Mytilus edulis: one gene and its partner. The protein of the gene in region 1 interacts with the protein of each later gene in a biochemical or structural test. Links are inferred from orthologs where the notes say so. Each region holds a gene or a part of one and is shown on either strand. Other genes may lie near its edges.

The links.
Region 2: of the proteins of chaperone Ric-8A-like (region 1) and guanine nucleotide-binding protein G(o) subunit alpha, one has a biochemical effect on the other in vitro, tested with the Caenorhabditis elegans proteins (2 studies listed by BioGRID). The link is inferred for Mytilus edulis from reciprocal best matches to the Caenorhabditis elegans genes ric-8 and goa-1.

The regions. Positions count from the first base shown.
Region 1 is NC_092350.1:6,075,667-6,084,309, forward strand, and holds the start of chaperone Ric-8A-like, read left to right. Parts: upstream 1-5,392; 5' UTR 5,393-5,507; coding exon 5,508-5,594; intron 5,595-8,301; coding exon 8,302-8,349; intron 8,350-8,643. UniProt on the Caenorhabditis elegans protein: Chaperone that specifically binds and folds some, but not all, nascent G alpha proteins prior to G protein heterotrimer formation, promoting their stability and activity.
Region 2 is NC_092348.1:39,848,496-39,857,538, reverse strand, and holds the start of guanine nucleotide-binding protein G(o) subunit alpha, read right to left. Parts: upstream 3,755-9,043; 5' UTR 3,692-3,754; coding exon 3,663-3,691; intron 1,568-3,662; exon of another isoform or gene 1,519-1,567; intron 1,243-1,518; exon of another isoform or gene 345-1,242; coding exon 208-344; intron 1-207. UniProt on the Caenorhabditis elegans protein: Guanine nucleotide-binding proteins (G proteins) are involved as modulators or transducers in various transmembrane signaling systems. In the 1-cell embryo, probably together with gpa-16, controls nuclear rotation and spindle elongation during mitosis.

The DNA of each region.
Region 1 (8,643 bases):
AGTACCCATTTAAGAGGATTAACATGGTTAATACCTCATTGAGATATTGATATAATTTGTATTTCCTAAATTTGTTACTACATGTATAACCCACTTTAGTGACAGGTACCAACCCAATAATGTAAATAAAATGTTCAGTATTATGACATGTATGAAGGGTTTAAATCAAATCAAATCTGTGTATTTCCTAATCAAAGGGACCTTATAGGCATATCAATTACAAACAAATAAATCATAAATTATAGACAATGGGGTTTAGTTAATTTTAATAAGATTGTTGATTTTGTTACGCTTTGTCCTAGTCCAAATAATTGTGACGTCTGGTAAGGCTATTTTTTTAGGGGGGGGGGACGCCTTTCTGAAAAAAAATTAAAATAGCCTTGCCAGATGTCTTAATTATTTGGACTAGCTTTGACATGGCACTTGGGTTTTTTTTTAACAAAAAATGGCCTGTACCTTAAAAGGAGCAGTGTTATTCTTACAGAAACAAGATCCTTGGTTTTTGACCAGGTATGAAAGCATGTACAGATTATAAAGATTAAAGACTATCTATTAAGTTACAATTAATGTGTACCTTCTCAATGAAAAGGTTTTATTTAAACCATTCTCTTAATTTTCAATAAAAATGAGTCTCGTTTTGTAAACTTCTGTCTGTTTGTTATCTTTTCTTTCATTGGCCGAAATAATCCAATCAGATTCCGTTTTAATACCGATATTACTTTACAGTACGTTATACCTAATCAGAACTTCTTTTTGCGTACACAAATAGCACTTTTTAATTAAATCGAATTTTATAGTTAAATGAGTATTTAGGGGTCCCACCCCTTATGGAGCAACATATGGGGTTAATGCATTGATTTTTTTTACTTTTTCCAATTTCGGCTGGGACTATGTCAATATAATGTCCCAGGTTTAGTCCCAGGCTCCCCGGGCCCCCCTTTTTCTAGATGCTGGATCCGCAGTGATCGTTTTCCCTTATAGTGAGTGTAGTGTTGCTTATTATGATCGATATACGGTTGCTTTTGTGATATCAACATACGTAAATGATTGGGTTTTTTTTCAGCTAAGGCGAATGAATTAAGAACAATTGAACGCATATAAAATCGAAGGTTGTTCATAAATATGATATAAAACAAAATGAATCCGTAAGCAGTCGAATGTTTGAATATCAGCATATTTTGAAAAAAAAAATATATCGATATTCTCATTTTCAAATCACCGAAATTAAACCATAACAAGTTACCTTATATATGGCAAACAGTTTTAGACTCAATTTCAACACACATTTTGATTCAAAATTAAATGTTCTAATCTTTCCTTAAAATAATTGATATCATTACCGCTAGTTCTTATCTTATTCAAAAATATGAAATATTAATATAAGATATGATTGCAGCGAAGGGATTTGGAAAGAAGATCGTCCTGATATTCATGAATTCATGAAGAAGAAAGAAAGAAACAACTGTTATTGATAATTGATCACTGAAACTGTCCCTTGTACAACTTGAATCCAAATATAAAACACTGAAGTTACTCTAGGCCGAAGAGCTTCGAATCCACTATATATTTTGAACCGGAGAGCTTAAACACAAGTTGATGTTTTGATTCTGCCAAACAAAAAGTGAACTAGATATTGCATTAATTTATACATCTCTGAGTATTACAAAATATTTCAAAAGTTAAGATTCATTTTCAAATTCGCCAGTCCTAGAATCTACAAAAGCAAACATGGAGAAAAAACTAAATATGATAAGACCAGGCAAAGATTGTCAATAAACGTGTAGCATATTAACTATATACTGTTATACCACTGTCCCAGGTTAGGGGGAGGGTTGGGATCCGGCTAACATGTTTAACCCGCCACATTATTTAAGTAATTCTCGTTTGAATTGTTTTACATTGTCTTATCGGGGTCTTTTATAGCTGACTATGTGGTATGGACTTTGCTCATTGTTGAAGGCCGTACGGTGACCTATAGTTGTTAAAGTCTGTGTCATTTTGGTCTCTTGTGGACAGTTGTCTCATTGGCAATCATACCACATCTTCTCTTTTATACACTGTTAGACAGAGAGAAACAAAACATTCAATTTTAAGGCATAAAGTATTGACTGAGAATATTCATGGCTTCATGTTATAAGGGTAGTAAAAAGATAGTGTCAAATGTTATTTTTAAAAAGTTAAATTTTGAATAAAATGAACGTCAAAACATCTCAGAAATTAAGCTTATAATATATTTTGTTTAAAATTGCAAATATGCATATTTCGAGGTTAGGACAGCAGCATAAGTGTGAAGAATCAATCAAATCCTAAATACTAACGCCTAGAATAATAATAAAAAAAGAACCATATAAAAAATAAAAAAGTGCTACCCTATATTTTTTTTTATAAATGAACTTTATCATATACTTAATAGAAAAATGAAATAAAAAAATGGGGTCACCGTTCATTTAAGTTGACAATCTGCCACCGAAAGAAGCATATTAAATGTTTGTTAATGTACTTTTTTTCTGTTGAACCAGAGACATATATACACATATATGTCTCTGGTTGAACTAATCTGAGACCACGTGTTATAGTAGTCTCAGAACTAATAGGAGAAAAAAAGGTAGTATCGAAATAAAAAAAAAAGAACTAAATTACAGAAATCGTTAAAATTTTACAATTATTTAGTTTATGAACAGCTTTTTTGAAAACAATAATAAAAAATATATGTAACCGATGAGTTAAAAAAAATATTTCAATTTTAATGCCAAAAAAATGGCATTTTTGCACCAAAGGGAGATAATTTGGAGCTTTTTCAATGATATAAATACATTTTGATAACAGTCATCTGGGGCCAAACCGAATGGTTTTTTTTTATTGATTTTTGTACCATATCATAAAGTAATAACTAATAGTGTAATAAATAGAAATTTTTGTACCCGCGAGCCTCCTTAAAACTTTATGTTTGAAGTTATGTTAAGGAGACTAAATAGATTAGTAATGGTTAGGTAAAAAGATATAATGAGCCAATGGATGAAAAGTGCATTTTAACGATCCACTGGTTCTTTCATTTAACCTTCTGATTTAGAGTCTTTTCGCAATTCCTCTAATAATTAGACAATAGTATCGGTTGCCTCAAATGACTACCTATTGATTGTCTAAGAGATGCACTTTGACAACATGTATTCATTTATTATACACACAGTAAATTTAAACAATGAAAAAAATGATACACTTGCACTCAGATCTGCGTACTGAGTCGATGTTTTGAATGAATATCATTAAGGACATTTTCAAAATAATGATACTTATTGTGTATAAAATATCCTTTTAGATTTTAAGCTTATTCTTATACAGTTATATAATTGTCGGTGAGAAGATCGTGCTGGCATGGTGTAATATCATATTGATATGAAATTTGGTTATTATTCTAAATCTCCTGACATCCAGCATGTTTACCGCAGTAGTACATCTTTTTGCACAATTGATGATTTGAGTTCAGTATTTGTGATTTTACTTTTTTGTGTTATTTCAAGTTTTGTCATGCATGAGGAACATGTACGCCGTTAATTATATATATATGATTTATTAACATGCAGTTGCGCTATACATATTTCGACTATGCCCTGGCGTTAGGGGTTTCTGGGTTTATTTTCTTTTGAATTTACAAATGAGTTCGATTCTGGCATTACAGCAATAACTTGGTGAATGTATACTTGCGGAAAAACATTAAGAAAGCACTGGCAGGAGGAATCGTCTTTTGTTGTGACAGAAGCATTACTGGTGGACCATAAACTTAAGAAAATGGCATGCACTGTATAAATAAAGTTATTTATTTTATTTTCCTTCCTTTTCCTATCTGCATGGCAAAATCTTATATTAGAAAAAAAAAATTTATACCCGCGAGCCCCCTTAATTCACTGTTGTACCTCTTTATTGTTTTCATGAAAATTCTAATATTTCGTAATTACACATCGTTGACTATTAGGCTATTAAGAAATACATACCTGTTAAGCGACGCATATGTAGATCATTGGCGGATCCAGGGGGGGGGGGTGTGGTTCCGGGGGTTGGAACCCCCTTTTTTTGGACGATCAATGCATTTGAATGGGAGCATATAGTTGGAATCCCCCTTTACTCGGCGTTGGGACCCCCCTTTTTGAGATGGTTGGATCCGCCCCTGTAGATTAAACAAAGTTGATAAATGATACATTTCGTTATCGAGCATTGATAAAGGCCTGCAACTTAGAAAATCAAAATTATCTCCCCTTAATTGACCTTTGACCTTTGACCTTTGCACTTCAATGGAAACAAAGAACTATTAATGCAAATAATTATTGACTCAACCAAAGTACGGGAAAATATTCAAATTCTCGACGAAGAAATTACAACAGAGATAGAAAGAATAAGCAGAAAACTGTGCTATGACCTCCATTGTGGCAGAACATTATTACACAAAAGGATGGCAGTATCAAAGCAGTCTGAGGCAAAAGACCCCGGGTGCAATGTCTAGATAACTATTAATTAATTTTTACCCCCAAAAATAAAAATTGAGTTAGTTAATTATCAGACATATATCTTAAAAGGAAGCTTAAGAGTAAACTTAATTGGGCAATGTAACACAAAAAGGAATATACAATATTTTAGTTTTTTTTAAAAGGCCTAAATTGGTAATATCTCAGATCAAATATTTTAGATTTTATAAAAGTATTATGATTCTATATTATCAACCTCTATTTTAACTGTAGAACAACTGGTTAAATGGAAATAAACTGATATAAATTCTGCATGTTCTGTACAGTAACATAACAGTTAATTTTAATTTTAGTCGTGTACATAGTAATGATAAATCCCAGATCATTAAATACCAATCTATATTTTTATAATCCTTTTATTTTTCTGTCAAGAAATAAATGAATAAACTATGTCCTTTTACCTTTTACCAGTAAATCTATTTCACTCCTTTTTAATCTGTACGTTTTAAGATATTTTGACTAACATTATTATATGCTTAATGTACATAAAATAGTAGGTGTAAATATTTTTATGTTAGTTTTTACATTAAAAAACGGTTTTAGGACAACGATAATCTTTTAAGGATTGTATATATTCTAATCTGGTTTGCTCCATATTTTTAAACAGTAATAAATAAAAATAAGGGTTTTTTTCTGTTACCGTGTGACACGGGTGCTCCGTTGCGGAGGAATTTACATAGAGAAGAAGAAGAAGAAGATCCTTTCCTCAAGCATTTGAATTATTATTTTACGTTTCTTTAATCACTCTGTAATGTTTATGTCATGTTGTAATTAATGTTATGCTCTTAATTGGCCCTTTAATTAATATGGAAAACAAAAATATTGTATTGTATTGTATTACATGTTGATTCCGTAAGACATAAAAGCTGTATATGCACGCACTTATTTATAACTGCAGAACACTATTTGAAATCGCATAAAATGATGAAGCTGAAGATGTCACTGAATATCATAAACAAACATATTATTTAGCAATATTCTGTTATCAAAATGAATATTGACGACAGGTGCTTGCGTATTTTAAACAGTGGATCTGACAAAGAAGCATGCAGTGTGCTACTTGAACTAACAACAAAGGTATGGACTATATATACATTTGTAAGAATGGAAATAAGTCAATTCAAAACATATAAGTTATTATTATTATTTGGAACAGTATTCCGTATCAAAGACCTTTTATTGGTCAAGTACCAGTTTTCTCTTTAGAAATTCATCTTTTTTTCTAGAATAATCTTAAAATGAAATATATTATAAAAAAGAAGATGGGGTGTGATTGCCAATGAGACAACTCTCATCAAGAGACCAAAAGACACAAAAATTAACATCTATAGATCACTGGTATCCGGTCTTTTCGGCCCCAAACCGATCCGGCCCCAAGTCAATATGGCCCAAAGTCGATCCGGTCCAAGTCGATCCGGACCCAAGTCGATCCGGCCCCATAATAAAATATGAAAAAACTATATTCACTATATGGAGGAATTTTTGACAAATTTGAACAGTATATATAAACGAAATCATTAGTCTACAATTGGTTTGTTTATTCAACAATTGTCTAATGATTGTGAACTAAGGTAATGCCACTCGTAATAATCACTTAATTCAATCAAATCCCGATCGATTAATTAAAGTTGCGTAATCAACAAGGTCTTTACATACCTGTCAACCTGTGACGATGAAAATGTAGGTCATGACCTGCATTGAAGAATCAAATCTCAGGTCATAATGCGTACAAACTTTTTCCAGCTGAATTTCAGTTGATATATTATTATAGTTGAAATATGTTTGTAAAACAACAGTGCAATTTATTTACGACCTAAAGCTAAGGTAATTGGTGTTAATTAACACTGTGTTTGACACCAAAGCTGTCAAGTAAAGCCAAGCACTTAATGGGTCACTTAATTTGACAGTTTACACAGCTAGATGAACTTCCTGTTCATGGACGAATTTGCTGGTATTTCAAAGGTTTATTACCTAAGAAATCAATCTCATGGCTAAGAAATACGGGTGAAAACGGGTCATTTTCGGAATTCCCAGGTTATTCAATAACCCGGCGGGTGACCCGGGTGATCCCTCAGAATTGTGAAAATCTCAGGTCACACCCGCAGAATACGGGTCAGTTGACAGGTATGTCTTTATAATTTGATCTTTTGTTTGGTGTATATAATAATAATTAATTGTAATTTTATTTCAGGTAACATCAGAGGCTTCTATATAACACTTTTTTTTTGTAATATTGAATATAGTCAATATATCTGTCACCAAGGTCCACTCGAGAGCACTGTTAGATAAGGGGGAGCTTACTCGTATGTGATGGAACGAAGGAACAGGGGGTCAGTCTATGGCTAGACTTAATGTTCTGATAGGCATAGCTAAAACGCAAGGAAGGTTTTCATAATTTAATTACCATGATTACTATAAAAACTTAGTCGAATGATGATAACAAATCAATTTGTAAACAATTCCAAATAATAATAATAATAATCTAATCAAAGTACAAAGTATCAAATCTAAATATCAAATCCAAAGTAAAGTTATTTCTCCTTAAAATGTAAAATATAAAAATAAATGCCAAAACTACTAAAACATAAAATGTACTTAATCTCAATTTCAAAATATAAAAGTCTCAAAATAAAAGTTTCTCAAAAGTATTTTCTAAAGTTAAATTTATAAGTCAGAGATAAATTTTGTCTTAACACTACACCGCCAACTGGTAGACAGTCTTATAGGTCCAGTATAATGACGTTAGTAGTGTGAGGTTACGCTTCCGAAACACTGACTGCCTTTCCAAAATTTCACAACAATATTTATACCAAAATCTAAAATAAATAAATATGTCTTGACACATTCATAATACTCTCATTAGCAAAAATATACTTTAATTGACAAAGGATAATCCTGTAATGTTTTGATAAAAATCTAAACTTTCAAAGTGACATATGTTAATTGCAATTTATATTTCAAAATAAAGTGCTTTGAGCAAACTGTTACATTTCGAGTATTAATGCCACAGCATAGGTAAAATCAATTAAACAAATTAATTAATATTTTACTAAATACAAACATAAAATTTTCTTTCTTAAAATAAAACATATTTTTTATCCAAAATAACACTAACACAAATTTAAGCCAAATAACACACCATGACATATTTTAAGTTTGTATGTATCAGCTTGGGGATCGGCTTGTACCGTTGTGTGTGTAACTATTTGTTATTACACAAGACAAAAGACTTGTTAGGATCACAGTCAATTGAAAGAAAATGCTAATTACTGCTGATTAATGTTGATGTCTGAATTCTTTTTATATATATGTTTTAATATATCTATATGTAATTATCTTATTGAACATTTTTACTTAGCATAAATTATTTTCCTTATTTTGTGTGATTAAAGATGGTTGCATTGATCATGTTGATAAGTAAATAAACATCAATTCCATTTTTTTAGCCTCGCATGCATATTTTTATTTAGAAGACAAAGCATTGTCTTCCAATGTTGTCAAAATTTCATGTAGATGCTTGAACTTTTTTTTAAATATGCTTGGATTTTGAAAATTATCAATTTTGGTAACTTATTGACTTGTAGGAGTCAATATTTGCAACTTTTTAATTCAGGTCAAATATTTTTTGCTAAACACTATTCGACGTCATAATTTGTCTTAAATTAAAGGGAGACAAATTTTAAAACCTTCAAGTTTAGACCTCTGTGAGTCAAAAGCAGATTTAGACTTATTTATGTCTGAGCTCTGACTGCTTAATTGTGAATCATATCTTTGATACTTTCAGCATGCACAGACCTTCAGTTTTCCAGATCTGAAATTAGAAGCCAAACAGGTACATATTAATTTTTCTTAATCTGACAGTTTGATAGCCCAAAACCCTGAAATTTTGTAAACATGACATTGCTTTGGGTTTGTAAGGCTCAAGGTAGCCTGAATGTCTCCCTCCATCTTTGATTTTGAAATAGCTGATAACAATAGGTCTATTAACTTGCATAAGTGGTGCCAAGCGTTTCCAGGTAAATCTTCCTACAGTTTGAATGCTAGGAAGTATCACTTAGTAGAAAAGCCTTCTTGCATAAGTGGTGCCAAGCGTTTCCAGGTAAATCTTCCTACAGTTTGAATGCTA
Region 2 (9,043 bases), on another chromosome or scaffold:
AACACAAAGCTTTATCATCAATCTGTTCGGCCATAATACATCAATAATACCGCTTCTTCATAATTAATATTATAGTTTCCACACAATTCAAAATGGCGACCACTATATGCATAAATCAAATTCCAAAATGTCAGCAAATATACATCCATATCTGTTCATTTTCGATTATCAAGCATAATTAACATTAAAATACGATAATATTCTTACCTAGAAGCAGTAATTTGATGTCTTTCGCAGCTTGGATACCATCCTCTTTCAAATTTTTCTCTATGGCCTTACTTCTCTCAAGGGCCGCCCTATCCTCTGCACTCATAGTACACCCCATTTTTATGCACGTCTTTAATCTAAAAATCCTTTAATTAACGATGTATTCCACCCCTGAGCCTGATATGTATGCTCAAGCTCTAAAGAGATGGAATTGTTAAAAACCAAACAATGTGGTGTATTAATATATTTTAAGTACAATCCAAATAATTCGTTATTATCATATATTCATTGAATATACAAGTAAAAGCGATTGACTCACAGAATCACCTCTCGTATTTACATCCAACTACCTTACTCATCACACCGTTTTAGCGATGCCGGTAAAAACACGGACATGTATGAAAACTTCATATATTTTTAGCTAAAGCATATCTCCGGCTAAATATTTCATCAACAAAATGGCTACCCATATACCGGTTTCATAGATGCAAACAAGCCACACGACAAAGCCTGTTTAAATATGCGGCAACTTGCTACCATCCAATGTAAAAATCGATCGCTTCGTTGTGCAGATATCTTTTCTGTTATGGGGGTTACTAAGTGACGTCAGTCCGCGCACGGGCTTTTAATACATTAATCCGCAGCCTCCGTTGCTAAAAATGCATAAAAATCAATGTCAACTTTTTGTCTTTAAACTGTTAATCGAATATTAAACACGCGTTTCTTCAGTATACCTTGGAAATCTTGTAGCATACAAAATGAATTGTCTGTAGATAACATCAGCAGACGAACACAGGTAGCTGATGATGCTGATTGGGCGGTGCCACTGCCTGTGAAATCAATTTTCTAAGGCGATGTCTATTTATGCGTACATTTTCACGTGTAAATATATGGAAAACTTAATGAGAGAAAAATGTTATGTCTCTACAGCTGGTGGAAATAATTTAATTGTGTGTTTGGTCATTAAAACTAGTTGACAGATGCCGCAGATCGATAAGTTTAATAAATGTAGAACTAACGCCACCTGGTGTTAAATGCAATCTACTAATTGATGAATGAACACAATACATGAATGGATAATTAATAAAAAGGTGTGACTATCGCATTTGATCTGACAGAAAATTAGTTAATTATAAGAATTTTGTTTTTAAAATCGTAATGTTTTAACACTCAATTTAACTTTCCATAATTTGGAAGGTCGCATATAAGTAAAAGTAAGTATACTGAGTATATACCACAGCAGTGGTAAGAAACGCTTAGGCGACAGTAAGCCTTATTATGCCTTATTTGGAATAAAGTATTGTACTCTACCAGTTAAAGTGACATACAATCCTCCTTATTAACTATTAAAAACTAAGTTTTTCTGAAATAACGAGGACACACAGGTATACGTAACAAAAGATATATTTCCTTATTTATAAATCTAAAAATAGGTCCCTAAAAACGAGAGATCTTTGACGCAATTATAGAGAAAACTCACATTTGGCATTTTGAAATTTCGTACTCGGATCAGAAAGACGCATCAAATTTACGGTACCTCGAATTAGGTAAGATTCCCACGAGCCTTTGATTTACAAACAAGCTATATTTTCATGTAAATATAGAAATGTTTAACGTCAATAAATATATTGATAAAAACCTACTTATCCTTGGGAATGTTTGGACCCATGGCCAGATGATACACATATTTGACAGAAAACTGGAAAGGATAAAAAGAAGAGTAATGCATGCAGTTTTATAAAATATTAATCTGTACTGACCCACAAAGTAGTTGTTTTTTGTTGTTGTATTAAATTCTTACATTTTAAGGGTGCATTTTAAAATGTCAATAAATGAACGCAAATTTTTAGTGTAGAAAAAATATAAAAACTAAGAATATTAAAGTATAAAAAACAAAACCTTTAAGGCAAGATTTCATAAGATTAATCAAGAATTTTGATGCTATGCAACAAACAATGTTAAAAGATATTTTTCTATTTAAATATTCTATATTATAAAATTTAGAAATTATTCTAAATTAAGAAATGTATCTCCCCAGGGGCGGATGCAGGAATTTTCGAAAGGGGGGGGGGTGCTAACCCAGGGCAAAGGGGGGTGCAGGGGGTGCAAAACATATGTCCCGATACAAATGCATTGATCGGCAAAAATAAAGGGGGTGCGCACCCCCAGAACCCCCCCCCCCCCTGGATCCGCCACTGCTCCCTCATACTTGTCCAGTTTTTGCAATACTTTTGTATTGGGTTTTGGACTTTTAAAATAATATGGCATCGAGTATCAACGAAGAGACATTAATTTTCGAAATGTGCATCTGGTGCAATAAAAATTGGGACTGTTAATGTTATTTTTCCGTGACAATAGCCATGTTTCCCTAAAATTTCATTACATCATCAACAAACTAACATGAAATGAATATATGGGAATCTTAAGATATTGTCGTGGCAAAACTAATTTTATGCTTATAGATATTTTAAATATGTCTTGATATCCTTAAATAACAGGCTTAACCACAGATTTAATTCGTTTGCAACCATGCTAACACTGTTCATTAAATGTAAAATTAATGAAGGGGAAAGAAATGTTTATTTTGATGTAATATAAAATTAAAACTGGAGTTTTATTACCTACAAACAATTGATATAAGATATGTTTCCATTTAACATAATTTTGAAATTCCAATGGCAATAGATAAAATGTAAACCATGCAAACACATTCAAACACATTCAAAACTGATAAATGTACTGATCACAACTTGACGCCGACGCTACCGGAAAGTACCGACCTGAATAAAACTGAATTTTGAACCAGTCAACACAATTTTCAAGCAAATAATCTTTTAACTGATTTAGTAATAGTTGCTTAACATTTTAAGCTGATATTAAATATTGTATGCGTATTTAGGACGTTTACATGTTATTCACATACAACACGGTTGTCTTGCACTTTAGTTAAAGGTGACAGTTTGCAGAAAGACCAGGTATCCTAAACTGACACCCAGATATTCCCTCTTCTGTGTCCTTTGCAAAGCGGAGAGTCATTATTTAAACTGTTGTCCCCTTTAACGTCCATCATAGAATGGCCAGGACCACATCATTAAATAATAGATTGACTTTTCAGTCATTTTCGGGTATATGCGATTGTTTAGTTTAGTAATTTCGAATAAGGTGCTGTACACCTATATATGCATGGTATTTGGTAAACCCGTATTCTTTATTTGATTGATTCCAGACTATCTTCATGACTAAGGCAACTGTATATAGGGTAGGCGCTTAAATTATGTATAACGATTCTGTTCACACCCGGGATCAGACCCATGACCTCCCGCACTCGAGGTGAGCGCGCTACCGAGGCGGTTAAAAGACTCCCCCTTAAAAACATCCAATTTATTGATTGGTGTCTGGGCATATTTTTTTTATCCTTTTTATATGATATTTATGATACAAAGACTGATACAAACCTACCACTGATCTCTAATGCCCTGTTCATTTTCTTCTATTAAATTAGCACAGACAATTTACTAGCTTGATTTGATGTATTGTGGACATGAAAACTACTCACTTATAGGTGTCCGTACCTGTTGAAAAGATCTAAATACGTAAGCGAAAGTTTTATTTTGATTCGGTTCACATATAACAATGCATCTTATCTTTCTGCTATTATAAATTTTAAAAAATTATCATCAAAGAATAAAAAATAAGCCGGGTCTATCATCTTATATGGATTGATTGATGAATTGATATTTGCTTTACGTCAAGTGGCAAATATTTCGTGCATATTTATGACTAGAACACATTAATGCAATACTGGTAACATCTGCAAAATATCGGGTCGACAAGATAAATATTTTGTTTGTTTTCAGCTAAACGTCCAGTGGAAAATATTACATGCATGTTCAGGACGAGCACAAATCATCAAAATAACAATATGTACGTCCTAAAATAGGATGTCTACCGGGTAAAATGCGTGAAATTTTAATTGTCTGGATAATGTGAGTATCTTGGATAGGGACAGACATTTGCCTTGTAGCAGATTGCCAACGGACCCCACAAAGAGTAAACACCTTAGTCCTTTTGGGATTCGGAGTCCTGAGCAATGTTCAGCAATGGCTGCAATGAACATTACATTGAACAACAAATCGGAGGACTTAACTTGTTTGTATTGGGGATACCTAAGCTTCACAAAATTCCGTACAAACAACGGTACATTGCCGGCTCACCTGCATGTTCCACTAAATAATTGTCCATTTAAATTCTGTCTGCAGTGAAAGAGGGTCTTTGAAATACCGTGAAACTGCTTTCTCGCGTAGTGGTATTAACCATATGTGGATTCTTAAAGTGTTTGTTAACAGTGAACAAACGGGTAAAATATGCTACACAGAAGAACAAGTTTTTTTTTATCGACAACATATTTGTTGAATTTAGAGGTAGACTTTTTCTACAAATAGTCGACATTCCCATAGGAACGACTTGTGCGCCTCTCCATGTCGACCTCTTCTTGTTTTCATATGAATCGGAGTTCCTTCAAACACATGTCAAAAACCAGACCCAAGAAGCCAGATTATCTAATTTCACTTTCAGATATATTGATGATGTTCTTTCCATTAACCATCCGAACTTTTCTGATTGGGTTCCATTAATATATCCCCCAGAACTAGAAATTAAAGAAACAACAGACACGGCCTCCTCCGCCTCATTTTTAGACTTGTACCTCGAATTTTACATACACAGTCATCTCAGTATTAGAATCTATGACAAACGAAACGATTTTTAATTTTGAAATTATCAATTTCCCCCACCATAGTAGCAATATACCAACTCCATCTGCATATGGGATATACATTTTCCAACTTATTCATTCGATATTCAAGAGCATGTTGCTCCGACTCAGACTTTGTAAAACATCACCAGTGTCTGAACAGAAAGTCATATAGTGATTAACCAGGGGTGCGCCAAAGAACGTTTCGTCCTTTTTCTAAAAAAAAAAGTTCATCGGAAGGTACCAAGACCTAGTTGATAAATATTCCGAATAAACTTCACACATAATACATGATGGTCTAGGTGTGTAGATTTTAGGTACTGACGTTGTTTATCATCTTAATAACGTGTTAAATTGTTGTTTTAGATGTCCTTGTTCTATTATTAATATCAGTTTTACAGTTTGGTTGGTTTTGGTGATATTCATTTTACGTGACTCGGTACTTATGCATCCATCCCGTCAATGTATTGTTTGTATTGTCTTTCATTTTTGCTGGTGTACTTTGTACGTTTAACTTTTTGTGTTTCTTTGGTACATACGACGTGGCTCTGTACTTTTAAACATCCCGCCATTATGTTATTGTTCTATTATAATTTTGAAAAAAACTTTGAACGACAAAAATATTTTGTATCTCTAACTGTGTGACGTTTACATTCTGACGTATAACACGCGATTCTACACCAGAGTTGATGTAAACCTAGCCATTCAGTCACAGGTCTTCGAATACTTCAATGTTCATGGGTTGATTTAAAATACAAAAATAAGTAAGCAATTAACGTGGTTGTGAATTTGATATATGCTTTTTTGTGCTTCTTTGTTAAATATTTGTTTGTTTTTGTTCTGATTTAGATTGTGACACGGTGATAACTGCTGTACCCCTATTTTGACAATTTTACCTATAATGTCTGTTTTGTTCACGCATTGTTGTAAATATAATGGAATTTGATGCGACTGTCAAACAAGTGAGAGGGTTAGCGGTATAAAACTAGGTTCAATCCACTATTTTAGTCTACATGTGAAAATGCCTGTACCAAGTCAGGAATATGAGTTATTGTCCATTCGTTTGATGTGTTTTATCATTTGATTTTTCTAATTGATTAGGGTCTTTCCGTTTTGAATTTTCCTCGGAGTTCAGTATTTTTGGGATTATATTTTTGCCTAGAAAAATCGCTCCGGACTCATAGAGTTGCTGCAAGAGTATTTAGAGTGCAGATTGCGCGACACTCGATGTATTCGATTTAACGTCCCCAAGTTCTGACCGGACGTAGGTTCGAATTTATTAATCCCACAAAGCCAACCGAAAGTCCAACTTTAACAAGCGTTTTACTAACTATCTGAAGAGGAACACAGAAAAATCATTTTTTCTACACATTCAACCCCTTTGGGTCCCGGATAAACGTCGAGGATGTCGCCTGCCACTGTAATATATGCACATTTATTGGAAAGGGGTATTGATGTCGCCTTTCAACGAGTTATTTGCTGACCCCTCAAAGGCATTGCACATTCCCATCAAGAACCATAGGATTAAGCATCCCCATTCAAACCAGACGTGGCTTTTCTCATCACTTGGCGTCCGTCGTCGTGAACTTTTACTAAAACCTTCTCCTCTGAAACTACTGGGCCAAATTTAACAAAACTTCGCCACAATCATCATTGGGGTATCTAGTTTTAAAAATGTGCCCTATGACCCGACAAACCAACCAAGATGGCCGCCATGGCTAAACATAGAACATAGGGGTAAAAATAATGTAGATTTTGGCTTATACATGTATCTCTGATAACAAAGCATTTAAAGCAAATCTGACATGGGGATATTGGGAATAAACTCATCATAGATACCAGGACTATTTTTTTTATATACACCAGACGCGCGTTTCGTCTACAAAAGACTCATCAGTGACGCTCGAATGCAAAAAAGTGAAAAAGGCCAAATAAAGTACGAAATTGAAGAGCATTGAAGACCAAAATTCCTAAAAGTTTTCCCAAATCCATGGGATAAATTGTTTAACAGGTTAAGATCTATTTGCCTTGAAATTTTCAGATGAATCAGACAACCTGTTGTTAGGTTGCTGCCCTTAAATTGGTAACTTTAAGGGAATTTTGCCGTTTTTGGTCATTATCTTGAATATTATTATAGATACAGATGAACTGTAAACAGCAATAATGTTCAGCTAAGTAAAATCTATAAATAAGTTAACTTGATCAAAATGGTCAGTTAACCTTTTAAGGAGTTATTGCCCTCTATAGTCATTTTTAAACAATTTGTCGTAAATTTTTGTAATCTTTTTCAAAAATCTTCTTCTCTGAAACTTTTAAGACAAATTTAACCAAACTTGTCCACAATCATCATTAGGTTGTCTAGTTTAAAAATTGTGTTTGATGACCCCGCCCCTGTACCAAGATGGCCGACATGGCTAAAAATAGTAGAAAGGGTAAAATGCAGTTTGAAACCAAAGCATTTAGAGAAAATCTGATAGGATAAAATTGTTCATTAGGTTAAGATCTATCTATCCTACAATTTTCAGACCATTCAGGCAACCCGTTGTTGAGATGCTGTCCCTGAATTGGTAATTTTAAGAAAATTTTGCAGCTTTTGGTTATTATCTTCAATATTATTATAGTTACAGATATACTGTAAACAGCAATAATGTACAGCAAAGTAAGACCTAAAAATAAGTCAACATGACCAAAATGGTCAATTGACCCCATACGGAGTTATTGCCCTTTTAACAATTTTCATAAATTTTGTAAATTTTTTACAAAATATTATCTACTGTAACTACTGGGCCTTGTCATTATAGATAATTGAAAGCAGCAAGAATGTTCAGTAAAGTAAGATCTACAAATGCATGCAGCGGATTACAAGCATTTAACAAGCAAACATTCTTAAACTAATAACTAGTCATATACTCATGCAGGAAGACCAGTCACAGTACTTTTTATTTACTCTTTACTTTGAACTGCATGCTAACGTGGGGCGACCGTATAAAAGTGCGAATGTACAAGTACCCAGCCACGTATGGCCAGAATACGATGCTCCGTGTAGAGATAGTGTCATGCATATTTACCCCCCTCTATCCAGGTTGACCCATGACTTGCGATAAACTGAGGCGACCGTTGGTGCGGTCATGTATAAATACGTAGCCACATTTCGACTAAATGAAGACTTTAAAACATTTGCCTTTTGTACAGAAAGAGCTACACGTACGTTTCCTTCCTTCAATCCCGATTGACTCTTAACCTGCAGGATCTGCCTATTGTAAGTATTGATGATTTTTTCTCGCAATGCACATTCATGAGGTATTTGTCACTTGACGTGCAGCAAATAACAATTAACAATCTGAATGCTTATGTCACAGTGTCGTGTGTTATTTTAATAAAATAACGAAAGTATTAACCCAAGATATCGAAGAATTAATATCCATTTACAATGGCACCACATATCCATGATAAATGGGGTATAACCAAGAAATCATGCCACAGTGTAGGAGACAGTTGTTTAAAAGTCACTTTGTCATATCATGTCTTGATAATAAGAAACGTGGGGATTTATGAAGATAAATGAAAGGATATTTTTAAGTTATTGCGAGAAGTATATTGAGTATTCGTCAATAGGAGACAACAATAAAATTACAACAATACTGAACTCCGAGGAAAATTCAAAGCGGAAAGTCCTTAATCAAGTGGCAAAATCCAAAGCTCAAACACATCAAACGAATGGATAACAACTGTCATGTTTTTGACTTGGTACAGGCATTTTCTTATGTAGAAAACCCAGCATCACAAAAGTCCATAAGATATACCAGCAATTGTATATCATTCCTTGAAATCAAAGACACCAATGTAAACATGCGTATACTAATGAACACTATCTTAAATGAAACACCGGATACGTTGGGTTGTTTTCTCTTCGTGCAATGCAAAGTTTTAAAAATGTCGAGGACAAGACTAAATCAACAACTGATACACTATAGGTATACCGATTCTGCAAGGTAGGGCTCGGTCGGGATAGACATTAGACATTAGACATTAGACATTATTTTATTTTTCCAATCATGGGCCCTTGTCAGGCAAGATACAAAA